Linked DNA regions of Ovis aries. The protein of the gene in region 1 interacts with the protein of each later gene in a pairwise test. Links are inferred from orthologs where the notes say so. Each region holds a gene or a part of one and is shown in the gene's direction. Other genes may lie near its edges.

Region 1 (5,543 bases):
ATGATTGTCCAGGTGAGACGTGACAGGTAGACCAGGGTGTGGGCACTGGGGAGATTCTGGCAAGATTTTTAAAGTAGAGGCGACAAAACTTGCTGACGGAGTGGATATGAGTGTGTATGAGAGAGAGGGGTCCAGGATGACCAAAGATTCTGGTCTGAGCAACAAAGGACAGAGAATCCTTTGATAGGATGGAGAAGGAGGGGAAGTAGGTTTAGATGAAAAAGTGCCCAGGTTTGGCAAACTGAGTTGGAAATGCCTGATAGAACTCCCTGTGGAGAAGCTGAATGACCACAGCGGCCTCTTTTGAGTTCATGGGATGTCTGGTCTGGAGATGTAAATTTGGGGACTGATGGCTCATGGATGGTATTTAAAGCCGTAAGACTGGATGAGATCATCAAGGAAGTGAGTAGAGACACGGGAGCAACACTACCTCCCCCAGCACCAAGAAAGGGTGACGAGGAGTAAACAGGCAGGGAAACGGAAGGAGCAGCAAGTGAAGGAGGAGAACTAGGAGAGCACAGTCTTGAACGCAGGGGAGAAATGTGATTTACATGGTAACCAAGATGGGAACTGAGAAACGAGCCTCCCACTGGAATGACAGTCTGCCCGAGGGCTGGGAATTCCTGCCTGCTTAGTTCACAGATACACCACAGCACCCAGCAAAGTGCCTCCCTTGCACTAATAAATTCTTTTTAATGACGAATGAACAAATGAGAACTGGCCTCTGAAAAAGACGGTGATGTGGGGAAGAGGGGACATTTGAGTTCACCTATATTACTCTTACCTACAGACCTTTCCTGCCTTGAGACCAAGGAGTCCAGAACCCCAGCCCCCTTCTCCCTGGACCTGGTATTACTGGCAGCGTCCTCCCACCCTCTACCAGCCCAGGGCCTTGAAGTCAAGGCCTCCAACATCCACTTGGACAAAGATTCAGAAATTCGGGTCCCCAGTTCCCTCCTCCTTCAGGAGTCCGCCACCCTCTCAGGGTGCCTCTGAGGCACCTTCTCCCTCAGACCAAAGATAGGGTTCCCAATTCCTCTTTCCCAGGAGACTTCGGAGTCGGGCCTTCAAAATGAGCTCCGCCCATTCAGACACCAGATTCGCTCAAGCGCACCGCGGGGACTCCCGGGCTTGTGGGCGGGGCCCTGCCCAGCACTGGGCGGGGCCAGACTCTCTGGTTTAAAAACTCGCGGGGAGACTCGGTCCAAGATCGGGGACCCGGCGGCGGCTCCGCGGGGAAGCAGCGACGCTGGCGCAGCGCCGAGGCCGGGGCCCTGGGGGCCCGCAATCAGCACCACGGAATCCCCGAGGTAACTGGGGGGCGGGGAGGTGAAGTACGCTCGGCCCCTAAGAGAGGGGCTGGGGAACGGACTCCTGAAGTTCGGAGGGACGGAGATGGACATCAGGAGTGAGGGGTCTAGCATCAAGCTGAGAGTGAGAACCCAATGTGTGCAGGGGGCAGAGGGTGCAGAGTCCTGGGTCGTGATGCAGGAGCGGCTGGGATTCTGGGCTCCGAGTCCGGAGAGCTAAAGGACTGGGGATCCGGAATCTTAGGTCCTGGGGGTGAAAGTGCTGGGAGGCCCCGAGCCCTGCCTGAGTCCTAGGAGGAGGGGCTGGCGACCCAGCCGCCATACTCGAGAAAGAGGCTGGATTGAGACCTTGGGGGCGTTTGAAATTGGCCAAGGTCTTGATAGGCAATGTCCAAGGCTTGGCTGCAGGGATGCTCTCTGCCCGTGATCCTGCCCCCCACCCTGGGATTTCCCGAGTTGCCGCCCGGCCCGGATCCCCGGGCTTAGCAGGAATTCCCCATGTGCGGGGATTCCACGAACGCCACGCTTGGCCACGCATCGTGTTTCGGAGCCGGACACCTGGTGTATGGGGTAGAGAGGAAGAGGGAGATGGAAGATTCCCTTGCGTGAGCGCCGTGACGTCAGCGCGTCGCGTCTGGGCTGTTTCCGAGTCCGCCCTCCCGCGCTTAACCCTTTTTCCGCCCGAACCGGGTGAGGGCCGAGGGCCCAGGCCTCTGGGGTCGCGTGAACAAGGAGTCTGGAAACTGGGAGCTGAGGGCCGGACTCCTGGGTCCTGGGGTAGCAGTTGAGAGTCTCCCAGACTCCTGTGGGGTGAGGCTTGGACTCCTGGGTGTGAAGAAGGGGGCAAGGTCCGAACTTTTGGATCCCTGAAGAGCCAGGGGACTGTTGAATTCGTGGTTCCTCAGGGAGAGGGGCTGTGGACTCGGATATCTGGTTTCCCAAGGAAAAGTATCAGGGCAGCTTCTAGGGCAGGGAGATTTGGGAACCTGGATGTGCGTCTCTGTGAAGGGAAGCCCGGCATCCCCCCGAATTCCTCAGGACTGGGAGATCTGGGGGTGGGGTGCCGTGGGATTTTTCACGGAAGTAGCGGTCAGAGGGAGGGGGGCTGCAGAGGGCGCTTTCCACCCCCTTCCTTAGTTTCCACGACGCTGGTGGAAAGTTGGGTCAGAGGGGAAAGTGCGGAGCAAAAGGAAGGAAACGGCGGAGGCGGCTGCGGCGCCTCACCCGAAATCGTAGATTGGCTTTGGAGTTCTCAGGCGACAGCAATGTGCCAGTTTTTTCCGCGCGGGAGGGCGAGGAGGATGTTCAGATCCACTCCCCCGCGCCTTTGGGTGACTTAAAGACCCCTGATAACTTCACTCCCTCCTCACCCCGCAGTGAGCCGGAATGAGCGCAGCCATTGCCCGTCACAGACGGTGAAGAAGCTGCTAGAAGAACAGAGGCGCCGCCAGCAGCAGCCAGACGCCGGTGGGCTACCGGTGAGCCCCAGGACGCCCTATAAACTACAACTCCCGTGAGGCCGTGTCCTGGTGGGCAAGGGCCCTCAGGGCTGAGGAGAGATGTAGTTCTGACTTAGATGCCCTGTAGGTGGGGAATGGGTGCCGCGGAGTCTGCTGGATAAATTCCCCCTTGTTTCTTTTTGTTTTGGCCTCTACAGGGACAGTTCCCACCTCCCCTGGCCCAGCCCCTGACTTCATCTGTGAATGAAGGTGAAGCTGGTAAGTCTAGAAACTCACTGGGTTCCCTCAGGGACTCAAACATCCCCGCTCTTAGAACTTTCTAGAACTTAGGCCCTTATTCTTGCTGAGACCTGGTAGAAGTTTTATCTCCCAGATTCTCTGAAGCTCAATAGTTTATGCAGGTAGTCCTGGGGCCCAGGCTCCCAGCCTGGAGTCTAGGCCCTCACTCACTCAGTGTTCAGGCATTTAGGCCCCCATAGTCCAAACCTCCAGCCCTTTGGTGCCCCAGAAGTACTAGCTTTCTGTATCCTGGGGACACTGGCCCCTCATACAGCTCCTGTCTGGGCTTCCGCTTCCCTGACTCTGGTAACCGGGCCTGCCCCTGCTCCTTCTCTCACACACAGGCCATACTCACTTCCCAGCACACCAGGAGACTGTGGGTTCTGGACTTGGCAGCCTGGCACCCCCCACTGGCTTTGTAGACTGGGACCCCAACACGCATGCTGCCTACACGGACAGCCTCTACTCTTATCCTGCTTCTGCTGCTGAAAGTTTTCTGACTCCTGACTTCTACTCACCCTCGGACCCAGGGCGGCCGTGTTCGTTTCCCCTGGGGATGGAGGTGAGACTGACAATGGGAACTGGATGCTGAAGGGTCCCTGAGATGCCCAGTTGCCCTTATTGCAGCACAGCATTCTGATATGTCTGGGTTAGGAACCCATTCCTCAGATGGGCAAAACTGAGGCCCAAAGGTCCAGGGTTACTGGCCGCAGATGGAACATCCAGCCACTCTGCCTAGCACTCTGTATGTATATGTATGTGGTGGAAAGGGAATTCTCAGCTGACTGGCTCTCCCCACCCTCTGTACCCTTCAGGACCCCCTGGACACTCGGCTCTATGCAGACCCTTCCCTGCCACAGGCAGGATCCTGGAGGGCTTCTGGGCTTCCCTCAGGACCTCCACAGTTGCCTCCTGTGGTCACTGGACCATCCCTGGACACTGCCCGTGCTCACATGCTGGCTCTAGGGCCCCAAAAGCTGCTGGCGCAGGATGAGGAGGGAGACACGTGAGTACAGGGGAGTGGAGTCTGTGGGCTCCCTGCTCAGCTGGGGTGCTGTGCTCATTGCTACCCCCAACCTGTCCCCAGGCTCCTGCACCTGTTTGCGGCGCGGGGTTTGCGCTGGGCAGCATACGCCGCAGCTGAGATGCTCCAAGCATACAGACATCTGGACATTCGTGAGCATAAGGGCAAGGTGAGGGCTGGAGGCTTGGTCTCCTGGATCTGAGGACAACAGGGCTGAGGGCCTGGGTCCCTGGTGTTCAGAGGGTAGAGGATGGGGGCCCCAGACTGACCTTTCCTGACACCTGCAGACCCCTCTTCTGGTGGCTGCTGCTGCCAACCAACCCCTGATTGTGGAGGATCTACTGAACCTGGGAGCGGAACCCAATGCCACTGACCATCGAGGACGTTCTGTCTTACACGTGGCCGCTACGTATGGGCTCCCAAGAGTCCTCTCGGTATGTCCGTTTGGCAGATGGGATGAGTGGGATGGGCTAGATTGCCTAGATCCTGACTTCCAGGGCTACATGGCCTGGAGAGACTCTAAGCCAGCTCTCTGCCTTCTCCTCCAGGCTGTCATTAACTCAGGGGTTCGAGTTGACATAGAAGCCAGAGACTTTGAGGGTAAGTTGAATGGTGGGCAGGGTGTTGTGGCAGGTGGGGCTGGGTCAGGGGAGTGCTCCAGATACAGAGTCCTCACTGTCTCTGCTCTGCAGGCCTCACCCCACTCCACACAGCCATCCTGGCCCTCAACGTGGCTATGCACCCACCTGACCTATATCCCCCAGTACTGAGTACCCAGGCCCAGGACAGGCTGGCTTGCGTCAAGATGTTGCTGCACATGGGTGCTGATCACACCAGCCAGGTGAGCTGGGCAGTGGACAGCTAGCCCCCAGGAGGGCATGTGGGATGGGAGCTCTTGAATGTCCAAGAAGGCTAAATAAATGCCGACTTGCCCCTTGTCAGTGGCGTGAACTTAAACATGCTACTTCACTTCTCTGTGTCCCAGTTGTCAACTGGGAATAATATTAATGATTTTAGCTTATATTTATCAAGCACTTAACTATTATTAAACACTGAGTTTCACCAATTAGCTAATTGAATCCTCACAAACATTCTTTGATGTGTGTGCTATTAGTGCCTTCTCCATTTTAATGATAATGAAACTGAGGCTCCAGGACTCAAAAATCTTGTACCTTGTAAGTGTCAGAGAGGGAATTCAAGCCCAGGTGGCCTGACCCTAGAATCCAGCTCTTAATATATATACTGTCCTCCTTCCTGACAGTAGCTCCTTCAAAGGCTGGCTGAAAGAATTACACATCCACTCATTGTTTTGGATTTTTTTTGTTTTAGTTAAAGAACTTTGAATGCAGATAAAGTACAGAAAATGATATTGATACAATAAACTCCACCTGTTGCTGTTGTTAAGTCGCTTTAGTCATGTCCAACTCTGTGTGACCCCATAGACAGCAGCCTACCAGGCTCCCCCGTCCC
Region 2 (4,814 bases), on another chromosome or scaffold:
TTGATATACAAATACTTCAAGGAAGTTAATACAGAATGTGAAATATTTAAGTTTCTTTTAGGGGGAAAAAAACTTACGGAGCTCTTTTATATTTTGCGTTGTTTTAGCATATGCTGTGGAATTGGCGACCAGCAGAGCAGGTGTTTGACAAAATATGACAGTTGCTTCCTTTGCTCATTCTAATTTAATTCAGGTTATTTACATGTGAAAGGCCTAAATGCTTTCCTTTTCTTTTTTTAAAAAAATGGAAGATAAAGTTTTTTTTCCCCTCCTTGATGAGGATTATCAGAGTTAAGACTAAGTGTAATGTTTCTAAAACTGTTTTTTGCTTTAAAAAGAAAATTGCACGTTATCTCAATATGAAAGCAATCACATTTGGTAAATATTTGGCTAATGCAATTGAAATTTTTTATGTATTTCCATTTCTTTTTCTTTTTTTTTCAGTTTTATCTGAAAGTATAAATATATTTAGGGTTTTCACTCAGTGGCCATTAACGTTTCTTCCTGTCTCTTGTCGAATTGATGTAGGTCATAATGATTACGGTTATCAGCAACCGTCGTATCCTGAACAAGGCTACGATAGGCCTTATGAGGATTCCTCACAACATTACTACGAAGGAGGTATCTATATACCTTCACACACATACACATATATATCCCCTTCTACAGGAACAAAAATTCTTGCATAAGACAACTTCTACCCACGCAAAGCTCTTGTAGAATACTAGTTGCTGGCTGTCTTGAAAGTTCCAGGGAGCCTAGAACAATCAGAATAATTTTCTTACAAATATTTAAAATGTATAACCATGACTTGCCATTTCTAACAACCATAAAAAGACTAAAACATTTTAAAATAATTTTTTTCCTCAGTGGAAATTTTCTATTTGAACATAAATCCATCAATCCAATTTTTTTTTCTTGTTGTGTGTTCACATATGTATAATTTTACATATAAGTTTAGTGCCTCTAGGAAACAGCTTGCTGATCTTGTGTAGCTAGTGTGTGCTCTTGTAGCTGTCTTTAATTTTTGTCTTTTTTATTTTATTTAGCATAGTCATGATCTTATGACTGTGATGTTCCAGTAAATGTAATGCTCGTATGGCAGAGACGCTGAAAATGCTGCAGTTCAACCTTGCAAAATTGGCTTTAACTGCAGTTTGTTTGGCCGAAATCCTTCTGTTTGGTTTGAGTTTTTTCTTTGTTTTGTTAACTTTTAAAAATCAATATAGCATTTCATTTTGTTCTTGTGTTGTTGGCTATGCATCTTAGAGGAATAAAGTTAATTAAGCAAACTCCTCAGTATTTTCTTTTTGTCCTCTTCTCCAATTATCATGTAGGAAATACGCAGTATGGCCAACAGCAAGATGCCTACCAAGGACCACCTCCCCAGCAGGGCTACCCACCCCAGCAGCAGTACCCAGGGCAGCAAGGCTACCCAGGACAGCAGCAGGGCTACGGTAATCGCTTCTGGCAGTTTTAACTTAGTTCCTCCTGCAAAATGTGGAAGGGGATATTTAATTTTCATTTGAAAATTCACAGCTTTAGCTCAGTCTACTCGTGCAGTGTCTCTTTGAAAAGTTCTTAAAACTAGTAGTCTGTTTAAGAAAAAGCATAAACTGGAGATGGCTCATTGACCACAGGTAAGGTATAGAAAGTCATTTGAAATGAATTCATTAATTTATGAATTCCTAAACCTGTTTGACATTCATGACCAGCCAGTAGCTTTGCGTGTGCTTAGAAAACTGATGAGTTGGGTGATTACTAACAGTATCTACATAATCTGCTTGGCAAATTCATTTCCAAAACTAATGACTGTTACCATGAAAAGTAACATTGATGTTTTAGTGTACAAATGAGGTCCATTTGGAATGCCTAGAGAAAATGTTTTTGTCATGCCCTATTAAAATAGTTGTGTACACTTCCATAGGGGTATGTTTATTACAGGTATGTATCTTACAGAGTTTGGAGGAAGTATAGCCATCTTTTCTTATTGTATTCTCACTGTAGTATTTACTAGTTGGCTATCTGTTAGATAGGGAGTGGGGAATGATACAGACCTGATATCTCAGTCTGAATTATCTATGACTACTTGAGATACAGGAAAATATGGTTCCTATGATAGGAGATATAGCTGCTTAATTAGATATCATCTTTTGCTAACAGGGTCTCTTTGTTTACATCAATATGTCTAGATGACTGTGGCTCAGATCATGAGCTAGCTTCCTATTGCAAAATTCAGGCTTAAATTGAAGAAAGTAGGGGAAACCACCAGGCCATTCAGGTATGACCTCAATCAAATCCCTTATGATTATACAGTGGAGGTGACAAATAAATTCAAGGGATTAGATCTGGTAGACAGAGTATCTGAAGAGCTATGGATGGAGGTTTGTAATGTTGTACAAGAAGCCGTGACCAAAACCATCCCCAAGAAAAAGAAATGCAAAAAGGCAAAGTAGTTATCTGAAGAGGCTTTACAAACAGCTGAGGAAGGAAGAGAAGTGAAAGGCAAGGCAGAAAGGGAAACATATACTCAACTGAATGCAGAGTTCCAGAGAATAGCAAAGAGAGATTAGAAACCCTTAAATGAACTAGCAGAGAGATAAAGGAAAATAATTGAAGGGGAAAGACTAGAGTTCTCCTTGAGAAAATTGGCGCTAACGGGACATTTATGCAGGGATGCACATGATAGAGGACAGAAGTGGTAAGGACCTAACAGAAGCAGAAGAGACTAAGGAGAGGTAGCAAGAACACACAGAAGAATTAAACAAAAAGGTCTTAGTTACCCAGATAACTACGATGGTGTCGCTCACCTAGAGCCATCCTGGAGTGTGAAGTCAGGTGAGCCTGATAAAGCATTACTATGAACAAAGCTAGTGGAGGTGATGAAATTCCAGCTGAGCTATTTAAAATCTTAAAAGATGATGCTGTTAAAATGCTGCACTCAATATGTCAGCAACTTGGAAAAACTCAGCAGTAGCCACAGGACTAGAAAAGATCAATTTTCATTCCAGTGCCAAAGAATGTCCAAACTATCATATAATTGTGCTCATTTCACATTCTAGCAAGGATATGTGCAAAATCCTTCAAGCTAAGCTTCAGCAGTATGTGAACTGAGAACTTCCAGATGCACAAGATGGTTTTCAAAGAGGCAGAGGAAGCAGAGATCAAATTGCCACCCTTTGTTCGATCATGGAGAAAGCAAGAAAATCCCAGAAAATCATCTACTTCTGCTTCATTGACTATGCTGAAGCCTTCTGTGGATTGTAACACACTGTGGAAAATTCTTAAAAGAGATGAGAATGCCAGATCACCTTAGCTGTCTCCTGAGAAAACTGTATATGTGGGTCAAGAAGCAACAGTTAGAACCGGACATAGAATGACCTGTTCAGAATTGGGAAAAGAGTACATGAAGGCTGTATATTATCACTCTGCTTATTTAACTTATATGCAAAATGTAGGACTAGATGAATCACAAGCTGGAATCAAGATTGCCAGGAGAAATATCAACGACCTCAGATACACTGATGATACCACTCTAATGGCAGAAAGTGAAGAACTAAAAAGCTTCTTAATGAGGATGAAAGAGGAGAATGAAAAGTTGACTTGAAACTCAACATTAAAAAAAAAACTAAGATCATGGCATCTGGTCCCATCACTTCATGGCAAATAGAAGGGGAAAAGTAGCAGTGATGGATTTTATTTTCTTGGGCTCCAAAATCACTGTGAACGGTGACTGCAACCGTGAAATTAAAATATACTTGCTCCTTAGAAGGAAAGCTATGACAGACCTGGACAGTGTATTAAAAAAGCAGAGATACCACTTTGCCGACAAAGGTCCGTATAGTTGAAAATATCATTTTTCCAGTAGTTGTGTACAGATGTGAGAGTTGGACCATAAAGAAGGCTGAGCACCGAAAAATCGATGCTTTTGAACTGTGGTGCTGGAGATGACTCTTGAGAGTCCCTTGGACTGCAAAATCAAACCAGCCAATCCTAAAAAATCAACCCTGAATATTCATTGGAAGGACTGATGCTGAAGCTCCAATACTTTGGCCACCTGCTACTAAGAGCTGACTCATTAGACAAGACTCTGACGCTGGGAAAGATTGAAGGCAAAAGGAGAAGGGGGCAACAGAAGATTAGATTGTTAGATCCCATCACTGACTCAATGGACATGAATTTGAGCAAACTCTGGGAGATAGTAGAGGACAGAGGAACCTGGCATGCTGCAGTTTATGGGGTCACAAAGAGTTGGACCTAACTTAGTGACTAAACAACAACAACAACGTCTTACTCTTTTTATTCATTGATTTAAACTCTGCTGTTATTATGGGCACCTCTTTCCACCTGTGATAGCAAATCTGAGAACCAGAATCAGGCTAAAATTCTCTTGCACCTTCGCAAATAAGCACTGAAATTTCAGGCAAGTATTGGAAGTTAGGTATTGATCACTTCTAGTTCCCTAATTCCAAATATGTCTTTAGAAATATTCCATGTATTTCTTGTCTTTTTGAAGAGATATTCTTACTACTCTCAAATGGCATTTCCATTTCATGACCATTGAACATTTGTACATTGAGTAAATAGAGTATTCTGGTTTTATTGTGTTCATATGAAAACAAATGTTACATAGATCAGTCAGGTAAGTTTATTGAGTTAAGAGAAATATTTTCAGTGGAAAGGTTAAATGCTTTTCTGTCTGACGCTGGGGAGATGTTCCCACTTTGCTTATCTGTAGGTTTTAGTTGTCAAACTTCATTCTAATAGAAAATTTAGTTTTAATAATCAGGTGCATAATAATTAAATAGTCAAAA

What was found. The genes of interacting proteins can lie anywhere in the genome.
Region 2: the proteins of NFKBID (region 1) and SS18 interact in a two-hybrid assay, tested with the Homo sapiens proteins (2 studies listed by BioGRID and IntAct). The two-hybrid records come from large-scale screens. The link is inferred for Ovis aries from reciprocal best matches to the Homo sapiens genes NFKBID and SS18.

Annotation. Positions count from the first base shown.
Region 1 is NC_056067.1:45,891,982-45,897,524, reverse strand, and holds the start of NFKBID (NF-kappa-B inhibitor delta), read left to right. Parts: upstream 1-1,977; 5' UTR 1,978-2,120; intron 2,121-2,687; 5' UTR 2,688-2,823; exon of another isoform or gene 2,824-2,839; intron 2,840-2,967; 5' UTR 2,968-3,013; coding exon 3,014-3,028; intron 3,029-3,864; coding exon 3,865-4,055; intron 4,056-4,136; coding exon 4,137-4,242; intron 4,243-4,360; coding exon 4,361-4,507; intron 4,508-4,621; coding exon 4,622-4,673; intron 4,674-4,765; coding exon 4,766-4,914; intron 4,915-5,543. UniProt on the Homo sapiens protein: Regulates the expression of IL-2, IL-6, and other cytokines through regulation on NF-kappa-B activity. Functions in the regulation of inflammatory responses.
Region 2 is NC_056076.1:31,101,984-31,106,797, forward strand, and holds part of SS18 (protein SSXT), read left to right. Parts: intron 1-528; coding exon 529-621; intron 622-1,337; coding exon 1,338-1,457; intron 1,458-4,814. UniProt on the Homo sapiens protein: Appears to function synergistically with RBM14 as a transcriptional coactivator. Isoform 1 and isoform 2 function in nuclear receptor coactivation. Isoform 1 and isoform 2 function in general transcriptional coactivation.